Mus musculus: one gene and its partners. The protein of the gene in region 3 binds, or shares a complex with, the protein of the main gene of each other region. Links are inferred from orthologs where the notes say so. Each region holds a gene or a part of one and is shown on either strand. Other genes may lie near its edges. The genes, in order: Aim2, Zbp1 and Ripk3.

Region 1 (3,569 bases), on a different chromosome or scaffold from region 3:
AGACAGATTTTTTCTTTGTAAAAGTTTTAAACGCACAGTTTAAAGATAAATTTATCCCAAAGAGGACAATTAAAATATCAAACTACCTTTGGCACAGTAACTTCATGGAGGTCACCAGTTCCTCAGTTGTGGTTGATGTTGAATCTAACCACGAAGTCCCAAATAACGTTGTTAAGAGAGCCAGGGAAACTCCCAGGATTAGTAAACTGAAGATTCAGCCATGTGGAACAATTGTGAATGGGCTGTTTAAAGTCCAGAAGGTAAGTTCCTATACGCAATTTTATATTGATCAGTAAGAATAATATAAAATATAACACCTATTCTAAGCCTTAATGGGACTTTAGAAAATACATTTCAATGTTTTTTACTCTATTAAATCTGAAACAATTAAAATAAATTTAAAAATTGATTTTAAATCATTTTAACAATTAAAAAAGAATTTTACAGAGTTCAGGATTTGTAGGATGATAATTTACCAAGACAAAGCTCACCAAGTTTTATTTTGTATTTTTGATTGTTTTGCTGTTTGAGACAGGGTCTTACTGTGTGGCTTTGTCTTATGTGGCATGCACTGATATTCGCTGCCCCTACCTCTTGAGTGCTGGGATCCAAGTGCATGTCACCACACACAGCGAAGGAAGGTTTGATTTTGAAACTCTGATTTTGAAATTTCTTTTTTTTTTTCCGCCTTGTAGCTTCTGAAGCATAGACACAGGCATCTTCACCTCTGTGTTGCTTTTATGCACTTAGATACTAGCCATATTCAAAGTCACTGTTGGGTTGAGCACTCTGCAGAGGACTGATGTACAGGTATGGTTTGAAGACAGAGAGAGAGAGAGAGAGACAGAGGAGAGGGAGAGAGAGAGAGAGAGAGAGCCTGACTTGAGCTTCTAAAACATCAAGGCCCACCCCCAATGACATTTCCTCCAACAAAGCCACTCCTACTTCAACAAGAGGCCACATATCTTAATCCTTTTGCATACTGCCACTCCCTGTGATCCTGTGGGGACCATTTTCATTCAAACCAGAAATCAGGTTAAAAAAAAATATATATTAGTCTTGTACGAACAGTTTTCTGGCCTAAGAGCGACCCTGAAGAACCACAGGAAACGTGTTGATTTCTGAACTTGTAGCCAGGATGGCCTCTCTCGTCTTTTCAGAAAGGAGGCAGGAGGGAAATGTCTTCCTTGGAAAATTAAAGCATAAAAAACACTCATCCCCTCTCAGTTCTGAGCCTTCCGTTTGATCAATTACCCACTAATGTTTTCTCATTTAGTGAATAAAACTAACATTGAAATATTGATATTTTACATCCCTGACTAGAATCTGGTCTCCTTCTAATCTGGACTTGACTGTGAATGATATTTCATTCATGGTTGACTTTTTACTTTTAAATTTCTTCACTAGGTCTTTTATTTTTGGTTCATGGGTTTCTGTTACTTGTTTCCTTAAGTGACTCTCCTCCTAACCAGGAGGTGCTCCTTTCCCATGACTGCCCCCTGCATGCTGGCCCTGGAGAAGCCCCACCTTCCCTGTCTACCCGTTGTTTCTGTGAGTTATTCTGGCCTCCCAAAAGAAAAAAACCTTGGGACTAGGAAGATGGACACAAGAGGCAACATGCTTTTAATATAATCCTCCTACCCCTTCCACTGAGATTTGCTAGAATCTGTTGGGTAGAAGTTTGGAATTATTTATTATATTATTTTGGAAAGCTGCTCCTAGCTTGTCTGATAACTGATTGATATGCTGCTCTTTCTTAGTCATCTAGCAGGACTTGACTCATATTTTCCTTTCACAGATAACAGAGGAAAAAGATAGAGTACTGTATGGTATACATGATAAAACAGGGACAATGGAGGTGTTGGTGCTGGGAAACCCAAGCAAAACAAAGTGCGAGGAAGGAGACAAGATTAGACTCACGTTCTTTGAGGTGTCAAAAAATGGAGTGAAAATTCAGTTGAAATCTGGACCTTGTAGCTTTTTTAAGGTATGGAAATTCTCAGAAGAGGATGTTGTTTTGTGTTTTCTATTGGAAATCCAATGAACAGGATGGCAGAGAAGAGCTTAATATGTATGCCTTTGCATCTCACAGACCTGAGAAGCCTGTCATTCAAAAATACATAACCCAGATACACAATTCAAAGCTGTGGATTTCCCAAGGAAAACACACATATGCGTGTGCATGTACACACACATACACATACACACACACACATACACACACACACACACAAACACATACACACATGCACACACAAAATCTCACTCTCCTTCTTTTCTTCTTCTTCTTCTTCTTCTTCTTCTTCTTCTTCTTCTTCTTCTTCTTCTTCTTCTTCTTCTTCTTCTTCTTCTTCTTCTTCTTCTTCTTCTTCTTCTTCTTCTTCCTTCTCCTCCTCCTCCTCCTCTCAAAGAACTTTCCACAATGAATTTATTGAATACAGTCTAAATCTAATGAAGGCAGCTTTCTCAAAGTTGCACACATCATTCTGGCAAATGCAGTTAAAAGTCAAGTCAGACTATAACACCCTGACAACAAACATCTGAGCCAGGGCAATCATCTTCACATCTGTCATAGTCCAAAGCAGTTAAGTCAGCTATCACATCCCCGTGCTGATGATCCCACTGATTCTGCTTTCCTCTCTTCCTCACCACTCAACTGTATATATAGAGTTATTAGATGGGGACCTGAGAAGTCTTCATATTTGTCCTTCTTGTGTAGGAGTGTGTGTGTGTTCAGGGCAGATATAGTTCAGGAGAGTTGTCCAAGAGTGACAGAATTAAGAGGAAATATGTGTTAGGTGAGGAGATTTGATGAGAAGAAAGGAATTTTCAGGAGAACACAGTAAGTGAAAGTAGAGGAGAATTAATTAATCAACAATATTTCAGTCTTCATCTTCCTTTCCTACCCAGGTTATTAAGGCTGCAAAGCCAAAAACTGACATGAAAAGTGTGGAGTGAAGTCACCTCATTTGAAAAACCTTTTCCTGAAGAATCCTGATGCTGCTCCTTGAACTAGACTGAACTACCTGAGGATAGCATTTTACAACCTCATCATCATATTGTATTACTTAGAAAAGGACAAATACTCAAAAAACATCTGAAAAATATATGTAAACTTATTATTAATTAAGTTATTAAGACTGCCCAACCTGGGGATCCATCCTATATACAACCACCAAACCCAGACACTATTGCATATGCCAGCAAGATTTTGCTGACAGGATCCTGATATAGCTCTCTCTTGTGAGGCTCTGCCAGTGACTGACAAGTACAGAAGCAGATGCTCACAGTCATCTATTGGATGGAACACAGGGCCCCTAATAAAGGAGCTAGAGAAAGTACCCAAGCAGCAAGTGGTCTGCAACGCTATAGGAGGAACAACAACATGAACTAACCAGTACCCCCCAGAACTGTGTCTCCAGTTGCATATGTAGCAGAAGATGGCCTGGCCGGTCATCAATGGGAGGAGAGGCCCTTGGTCTTGCAAAGATCATATGCCCCAGTACAGGGGAATGCCAGGGCCAGGCAGCAGGAGTGGATGTGGGTGGGTTGGGGAGTGTGTGTGGGGG
Region 2 (4,161 bases), on a different chromosome or scaffold from region 3:
GGAGGAGTCAAGTGGCATTTTCACAGGGGCTACCTAAGACCATTAGAAAGCACAGATCTTTACATTATGTTTCATAACAATAGCAAAATTATGGTTACAAAGTGTTGATGAAAATCATTTCTATGGTGGGGATCACAACGACGTGCAGAGTTAGGATGGTTGAGAGTCACTGACCTAGGAGGCTCTGACTCCTTCCAGGCAGGTCAGCTAATGTAAGGAAGGGAAGGGAAGGGAAGGGAAGGGAAGGGAAGGGAAGGGAAGGGAAGGGAAGGGAAGGGAAGGGAAGAGGAAAATGCTGAAGAAAGGAGTGAGGAGGGCATGTCCTGAAGCCCTGCTAAGTCTGGAGCCACCTTGGTTAGGGACCAAGCAAGACCCCCTGGGCAAGAGGCGGTTGGTGAGCATGCGCCACCTAGTGGTCAGTTTTCAAATGGCGCCTCTAGGGAACCTGGGCAGTGTCCCTCAATGGGGCCAGCTGAGAGTTCATTTAAAAGCGACTTTATTTATTTTGGGTGGCAACAGGCAGTGCGGTTTCTGTTTTCCTTGGCTGGCTCTGCAGGCACTGTTTTTCCTCCCTGGAAGTCATAAAAAAATCACTTGGAAATGTTAATATTTTCCCATGCACAGGCCCATCCTAAGCTGTGTAGACCTGGCCTGGTCTTGGTCCCTTGGTGACCCTTTCAGGTTCTGTAAGGTGAAGCTGACTGGGGACCTGCCACCTCCTGCTTGCTTGGCAGACATCCTCCAGGCACATCACCTCCTTCTAGTCTCCAACGACTGCTGCTGTCTTGCCCTGTGCACCAGTGACCTGCACACCAGACAGGTACAGAGGTCCCAAGATCATGGCCTCTGCACTCACCCCACCTCCACCCTGTAGCCGGGACCCAGATTCTGGGATTATTGTGAGCTGAGTGGTGGACACAAGGCCATCTCTGTGAGCCCCGATCCCCTCTTACGTAATATGGAACAGAGAAGTGTCTGAGCTGTTCACGGGTCACTGAGAATTTATGAAAGTGAGAAAAGGGGCTCTTTTTCTAGAAGGTATGTGAGTAGATGGTACTACACCTGCCTGTGGGCATGTGGGGGAGGCACAGTAGGTGCCTTTTCCTAGATCTATCTTCCTCCTCACAGGGCTTTCACAGAGTTCTCTTCAGATAGAGCTCTCCCGGTGGGAGACCAGTCTCCACCCCAGAGGCCAAGACTCCTCTCTTCTCTGTCACACAGTCATCCAACTCCAGCTTGCTCACCCACCCCGATTTCAATTTCGATTTCGACACCCTTTCTTTCCGAGAACCACACCAAAGTTTCATTTTCTCTTTCTTTGAAAAGCTGGAGGGCGGGGAGGGGATGGAGCCAGATGGGTATTTGTTTCCGGGATGGTAACAGCTGGTGCCTGCAGGTCCAAGCAGCCATTCTTGCCTGTGGATTCAGAGCCCCAGGCCTGACCACAGTGCCAGAAACTGCCACCCCCTGCCCTAAAGGAGCCCCAAGGCTGCTGTGAGCATGGCAGAAGCTCCTGTTGACTTGAGCACAGGAGGTAAGCTAAACCTCTTCCTTCACCTCGCGTGGGTCCCAGCTGATGTTTCTAAGGCTCCTAGCTCTTTCCTTGGCCCAGACAGCAACAGGATTCTGAGGTCACCACAGGGAAGTCAGCTTGCTTCAAGGATCCTGTGCCCCAGATCCTTCATGTCACCTTACCTCATTGATGAGGTCACCAAGGCCTGTGACAGCCCTCGGGCTCCGAACTGTCATTTCAAGAGAGGACTTTGCTTTGATAAGGAGATGTGACTTTGATTTTACATTCAAGCTCTTCTCCTGCCCTATTTGAACCCTTGCTGAGACTACATACCCTGTCTAGGGGCTTCTGGGCTATGGGAGGCTGCGGGGTGCAGGGCTGTGTGAGGCTGCCATGCTGTGGGCAGGATTTAGTTCACTGCTTTTCTTCTTCATCTTTTGAAAAGCACTTCATTTTTGTTTTTTGTTTGTTTGCTTTTGTTTGGTTTGGTTTTTTCGAGACAGGGTTTTTCTGTGTAGCCCTGGCTGTCTTGGAACTCACTCTGTAGACTAGACTGGCCTCGAACTCAGAAATCCGCCTGCCTCTGCCTTCCAAGAGCTGGGATTAAAGGCGTGCGCCACCACGCCCAGCTGAAAATCATTTCTTATTTCAACATACTAGAAGTGGTTGCTCAAAAGCTATCAGGGAGGAGCCAAGCAAAGACCAGAACTAAGGTCACCTGGTTCCCATGGTTTCCTTTCACTGCTAACCTTTCCAGCCTGTCACCTGCAGCCTTCTGCTTTCCAAAGTCCCACTTTCAGACCCTGCAACCAGTCCTTCAAGTTCACCCTTTGGAGAAGGCTTGGCCTGCCTTGTGTGTCCCTAGGGGCCAGTGGGAGAAAGGAATGAAGGAGAGGCCACTACAGGGCACACTCCCCAGCAAAGGTTTTACAAGGCAAGGCAAAGCCAAGTCAGGAATAGATGCTCAGTGCTATAATCCTTCCCCCAACACCCTCCTCCTCCTCCACCCCCACCCCCAGCCCCACCCTGGGGTGGGGCTGTGGCTGAAGCAGGAGGATTGCTATGAGTTCCAGGCTAGCCTGAGCTAGACTTTGTCACAAGAGGAAAGAAAGAAAGGTAGAGGCAGACTCATGGATAAGCAGACAGACGTGCTGGAAGGGACATGAGGTGGAACTTGGGGATCCTCAGGGTTAGACACGGAGGAGGAGGCTGGGTAGCTAGCAGGGGTGGAGGGCTCTGGGAGGAAGCCTTCTGGAGTTGGCAGGCAGGCATCTGGAAGATGACATTGAGGCTGGGTTAAAGAGCTGAGCTGGGTTTTCAGGACTCCTGCTGTATCAGGCAAGGGAGGAGAGACCCATTTTTCTTATCTGCTGGGCTCCTGGGCTGGGAACACCCATGCCTTCGATGTGGGTGCTGAGCAGGAGAGAAAGGGACTCCTGGCCAGGCTGAGAGGCCATCAAGACACCAAATAGGGACTTCAGGGCTAGACTTGGTTTCCTGCCTCTCCCTTTTGTTCCATCGTCCGAGAGTTGGGGGTTCCTACCTGTTTGGGTTCCACATAGTACACAGGGCAGGCTGTATACTATTTTACCATTTGGCCACCCAGACATCTAGTTGTGGGGTGAGGGGCCACCTGACTGACACCCTTGCCTCTGGGTGGTGTCGTCGTTCCTGTCTGCTTGGCCCAGGTCACAGGTGCCTTCTCTGCTCTGGGGACTAGGCTTAACTCAGCTCTTCTCTGGGTTCCTCCCCAGACAATCTGGAGCAAAAGATCCTGCAGGTGTTGAGCGATGACGGCGGCCCTGTGAAGATTGGCCAGCTGGTGAAGAAATGCCAAGTGCCCAAGAAAACCCTCAATCAAGTCCTTTACCGCCTGAAGAAGGAGGACAGAGTGTCCTCCCCAGAGCCTGCAACATGGAGCATAGGCGGGGCTGCTTCTGGAGATGGGGCTCCTGCAATCCCTGAGAACTCCAGTGCCCAGCCTAGCCTTGGTAATCTGTCATGTAGGCAGAGCAGACCCCCCACACACACTAAGCTCTCCTCCCCCCTACACGCACATTAAGAGCCACGAGGCTTGGCTTCAAATCTGAGCTTGGCCATTCCCTCTCTGTCTCTTGATTTCTTCTGGCCAATGGAGCCAAATGTGAAGCTTAGGGCTTATACATAGTAGGTGTGCAATAGACATTAGCAGTAGTGAAGACACACTGCAGGCAATAGTTACACGGATAGTGAGGGCTGATGGGTAAGGATTCACTCAGAGCCTTCAGGTGACTTTGAGAGCCATCAAGAAGAAAGGACCCAGAGTTCCAAGAGCTGATGCGGTCCCCAGGGCCACCTTGCCTTCATTCAGCTCCAGATAGAGACAGGAAAGGAAGCAGCCTTGGGACCTCAACCTTCAGCAGACAGTATCTGTGACCCAAACAGACAGGAGGTCCTGGGTCCCAGCCTAATGTGCTGCCCCCAGCTCCCCTGAGAAATCATTCCCCATGTTTAGTGGAGCAGGGTGTCTCCCATCTCCAACGGACACATCCTTCTTCCAGACTCAAGACCCTAAAGAGATGTAGGTGCAACTTCAGGGGGCCCTGGTCTGCAGCTCAGTGCACCCCCATGGGCCTCTCCAGACCGCTGAAGCTCCACAGGAGTATCAG
Region 3 (4,288 bases):
CCTGGCCTCAAACTCCTTATGTAGACCAGGCTGGTCCTAGAGGTCTGCCTGCCTCTGCTTCCTGAGGGCTGGGATTAAAGGTGTGCACCACCAGTCCTGTTACCCAACAGTCTGACACTCTAGGATCTTGAAAAGCTTTCATGGAGAATATATGCCATGCTTGCCTGAAGCATGAATCAGAGTATTTACTTGCCAAAGGTATCACACAAGGGGAAGGGTGGGAAGCCCTTAGAGCTGCTACAGAGGCCATCACAGCAGCAGTGGCTCGATTGCAGGGCCAGCACACCTATCCTCATTACAACACCCTGGCATAGACCCTGGGCCTTCCAGCTCCACAACCCCTACTTAGTAGCTGCTCTTGCTGAGCAGGGATTCCAAGAGGTCCTTTAGTGCATACTGCGTGCCTCATACCTTACCTGCACCACAGGTAGATTTATATAGCCCAGAGGCATTGTCAAGAAGAATAAGCTAACTTGAGCTGGAGTGTGTGTGTGTGTGTGTGTGTGTGTGTGTGTGTGCCGCTTAGTAGGCAAAATTCTTGTCATGCAAGCATGAGGACCTGAACTCATATTCCCACAACTAAAGTGACATTGGGGACAGTAGCCCATGTATACCATGCCAGTGTTCCTACAGCAAGATGAGAGACAGGAGAATACTGGGACATTAACAGGCTAACACATAGCATTATGCACACAGCAGAGAACAAACTGACCCTATCTCAAACAAGGTCGAACACCTACACACACACACACACACACACACACACACACACACCATGACATGCACCCCTTCACCACATGCATGGTCATGCACACACATAAATAAATTTTAAGATAAATAAGAAAGCCAAGCATGGTGGCGTACACCTTTAATCCCAGCATTTAGTCAGGAGGCAGATGCAGATGGCTCTCTGTGAGTTTGAGTCAACCTGGTCTGTATACTCGAGTCCCAGATCAACCAGGGCTCCAAAAAGAGACCCTGTCTCAAAAGTAAGTAAGTAAGTAAGTAAGTAAGTAAGTAAGTAAATAAATAAATAAATAAATAAATAAAATAAGGGCTACCTTGGTGGAGCAGAACTCGGTTCTAAACTAGTCCCATACTTACTTGGCCAAGCGATTTAAACTTTAAGTACTTGGGTTTCCTCCTCTATAGAAAAGAAAACACGGTTGATCTAAGAAGCCAGTATGTGTACCTGGCCCAAGACAACCCTTACTAGAAGCGTTACTCCGTGATCTTAGGACCATAAAATCCTCCTGATCTCCATCCTCCCTTCATCAAAATGTGGTTGGCAAGCGGTGGAGCTAAGGGGTCCAAGAGAGACTGGCTATCGTGGGGAGTCAATCGTTCCTGGATGGTGAGGACACCTTTTGTGGCACGCCCAGTGCCTGGGCGCTTCTCGGGTGGAAGCAGTTTCAAGGCACGTGCACAGGAAATAGCCCCAAAGTTTTCAATGCTCCACCCCAGGGGGCGGAGATAGAAGGAGCCTCTTATTTGAAAGGGAAGTTGTGAAGTCGCTCATTCAAAGTCCGGGGGAGCGACCTGGGAAGCGGAATTCGGGGCCTGAACCTCCGTGCCTTGACCTACTGATTGTTCCCTTTGCAGACCCTGCCTTCCTCTCAGTCCACACTCCGAGCCGTAGACGTCGGGTTTCCAGCTCCGTCTGTGCACACATAACTCCAGGAAGCCGCTAGCTCCCGACGATGTCTTCTGTCAAGTTATGGTGAGTGGGGAGTGAGCTGTGTCTCCGGCACACCCACACAGGTGGCCCGGGGACACACTCAAAGGACGCCTTTTCTGAGGCAGGGGACAAAGCTGGGGGTGAGGCGGGCAGCAGTGGGGAGGCTAGACTCGCTGCCTACGCTGCCCACGCGCAGTCACGGAATCCCGGAGCTTGGGAGACAGAGGATGCGCTAGGCTGGGGGATGGGCCCCCTACCGGACAAGAACCTTTCTCAGGCCTACTGGTGCGTCAGCGGTTCCTCTGGTGAGCCGTGAAGAACTGAAGAAGCTGGAGTTTGTGGGTAAAGGAGGGTTCGGAGTCGTGTTCCGGGCACACCACAGAACATGGAACCATGATGTAGCAGTCAAGATCGTGAACTCGTGAGTGACCCCAGCTGTAGTCAGAGTGTGGTCACGAGCCTGAGTGGGGCAAGGGTGGGGTCTTCCAGAGCGCAATCCAATTTTGGCCCCCTTTCGGCGTGTAGGAAGAAGATATCCTGGGAGGTGAAGGCTATGGTTAATCTTCGTAATGAGAACGTTCTGCTCCTGCTGGGGGTCACTGAGGACCTCCAGTGGGACTTCGTGTCCGGGCAGGCTCTGGTGACAAGATTCATGGAGAATGGCTCCCTCGCAGGGCTGCTGCAACCCGAGTGCCCTCGGCCCTGGCCACTCCTCTGTCGCCTGCTGCAGGAAGTGGTGCTGGGGATGTGCTACCTACACAGCTTGAACCCTCCGCTCCTGCACCGGGACCTCAAGCCCTCTAACATTCTGCTGGATCCAGAGCTCCACGCCAAGGTTAGTCCATCTACAACCTAGTGTAGACTTGGGACCATGTTGAGTACCTGTCCCTCTGAATACAAGACTACACACATGACAAGACCCAACTAGGAGTTTTATTTCTAGTCATACCAGGTGACCCTCCTTACCAGACGCCCTTCTTAACCCCCTGGCTCAGTTCCACAGGCCTAATGCACCCTCACGGACCCAGGCTGACTTATCTCAGGCCTGCCCATCAGCAACTCAGATCTCCTGCTAAGTTCTCAATGACTTTACCTTCCCTCTGGTCCTCCATAACACCTTCCAAAAAGCTGAGGCTGCTGCATCTTCTGGGGAGCAAGAGAGGGAAAAATCTCTGACCCCCCCCTTCATCTAATACCTTCCCTTTCCTTTCCTTTACAGCTAGCAGATTTTGGCCTGTCCACGTTTCAGGGAGGGTCCCAGTCAGGGTCAGGATCAGGATCAGGATCCAGGGACTCTGGGGGCACCCTAGCGTACTTGGACCCAGAGCTGTTATTTGATGTCAACCTGAAGGCTTCTAAAGCGAGTGATGTCTACAGGTAAACCATCCACCCCAAACACACTCCAAATCTCTATACCAATTTGGGCCCTTCTAAAGGGAATGATACAGGAAAGAAGTCTCGCCAGAGGCCATCTAAGCCTCCATTTGTGTCTGTACAGCTTTGGGATCCTCGTGTGGGCAGTGCTGGCTGGCAGAGAAGCTGAGTGTAAGACTCCAAATGGAGTACCCGAAAGCACCTAAACCCCCCTGGAGCCCTCCCTTTTACCCTGACCCACTAACACACTGCCCTCTTCCCACCTCACCTCTCACTTGGATGACTCTCCCTGCTCCTGTCCGCGATAGAATGGGCTGTCCCCTCATTTCATGAATTCCTTATGTTATCCCCCAACTCCAGTGGTAGACAAGACTTCACTAATCCGGGAAACAGTGTGTGACAGGCAGAGTCGTCCTCCACTGACAGAGCTGCCTCCAGGTAGCCCTGAGACTCCCGGCTTGGAAAAACTGAAGGAGTTAATGATTCATTGCTGGGGTTCCCAGTCCGAAAACAGGCCATCCTTCCAGGGTGAGTTGGCCGTATCTCTGGCAACTAGGGTAGGCTTGGGTCTTCAGCAGGGAGCTCCTCCAAGGAAAGAAATCCGACTCATATACAACTCGCTGTTGTCTTTCAGACTGCGAACCAAAAACCAATGAAGTTTACAATCTGGTAAAGGACAAGGTAGATGCTGCTGTCTCCGAGGTGAGTTTCTAGCACTGCCTTCCCATCCAGGAACTGTTGGGAGATGGCACAAGTGGCTCCCTTAACCATTCAGTTTATCTTCACTGGCCACCATTATTTAATCCTTGGTTGTCATTCCCATTCACCAGAACCTACTCCTTAGTCTCCAGAGACCAAGAAAATTTTCACTGGGGTTTACTTTGGCTGCCCCAGCTCCTGACAACAAGGTCCCCCTGTCTGCACAGGTAAAGCATTATCTGTCTCAGCACAGAAGCAGCGGCAGAAACTTGTCTGCCAGAGAGCCAAGCCAAAGAGGCACAGAAATGGATTGCCCGAGGGAAACCATGGTTTCTAAAATGCTGGACCGCCTGCATTTGGAGGAACCCTCCGGACCAGTTCCTGGAAAATGTCCTGAGAGGCAAGCACAGGACACATCAGTTGGGCCTGCCACACCAGCAAGGACATCTTCTGACCCCGTGGCTGGCACTCCTCAGATTCCACATACTTTACCCTTCAGAGGCACAACACCTGGGCCAGTCTTTACTGAGACTCCCG

Evidence for each region.
Region 1: Ripk3 (region 3) and Aim2 share a complex: the UniProt entries of both Homo sapiens proteins name them as parts of the AIM2 PANoptosome complex. The link is inferred for Mus musculus from reciprocal best matches to the Homo sapiens genes RIPK3 and AIM2.
Region 2: Ripk3 (region 3) and Zbp1 share a complex: the UniProt entries of both Homo sapiens proteins name them as parts of the AIM2 PANoptosome complex. The link is inferred for Mus musculus from reciprocal best matches to the Homo sapiens genes RIPK3 and ZBP1.

The regions. Positions count from the first base shown.
Region 1 is NC_000067.6:173,462,061-173,465,629, forward strand, and holds part of Aim2 (interferon-inducible protein AIM2), read left to right. Parts: coding exon 1-260; intron 261-695; coding exon of another isoform or gene 696-803; exon of another isoform or gene 804-1,792; intron 1,793-1,798; coding exon 1,799-1,987; intron 1,988-2,910; coding exon 2,911-2,958; 3' UTR 2,959-3,569. UniProt on the Homo sapiens protein: Sensor component of the AIM2 inflammasome, which mediates inflammasome activation in response to the presence of double-stranded DNA (dsDNA) in the cytosol, leading to subsequent pyroptosis.
Region 2 is NC_000068.7:173,216,115-173,220,275, reverse strand, and holds the start of Zbp1 (Z-DNA-binding protein 1), read left to right. Parts: upstream 1-1,353; 5' UTR 1,354-1,500; coding exon 1,501-1,534; intron 1,535-3,267; coding exon 3,268-3,504; intron 3,505-4,161.
Region 3 is NC_000080.6:55,786,049-55,790,336, reverse strand, and holds the start of Ripk3 (receptor-interacting serine/threonine-protein kinase 3), read left to right. Parts: upstream 1-1,479; 5' UTR 1,480-1,700; coding exon 1,701-1,720; intron 1,721-1,874; exon of another isoform or gene 1,875-1,955; coding exon 1,956-2,099; intron 2,100-2,203; coding exon 2,204-2,513; intron 2,514-2,897; coding exon 2,898-3,055; intron 3,056-3,176; coding exon 3,177-3,223; intron 3,224-3,320; exon of another isoform or gene 3,321-3,412; coding exon 3,413-3,580; exon of another isoform or gene 3,581-3,686; coding exon 3,687-3,754; intron 3,755-3,978; coding exon 3,979-4,288. UniProt on the Homo sapiens protein: Serine/threonine-protein kinase that activates necroptosis and apoptosis, two parallel forms of cell death. Necroptosis, a programmed cell death process in response to death-inducing TNF-alpha family members, is triggered by RIPK3 following activation by ZBP1.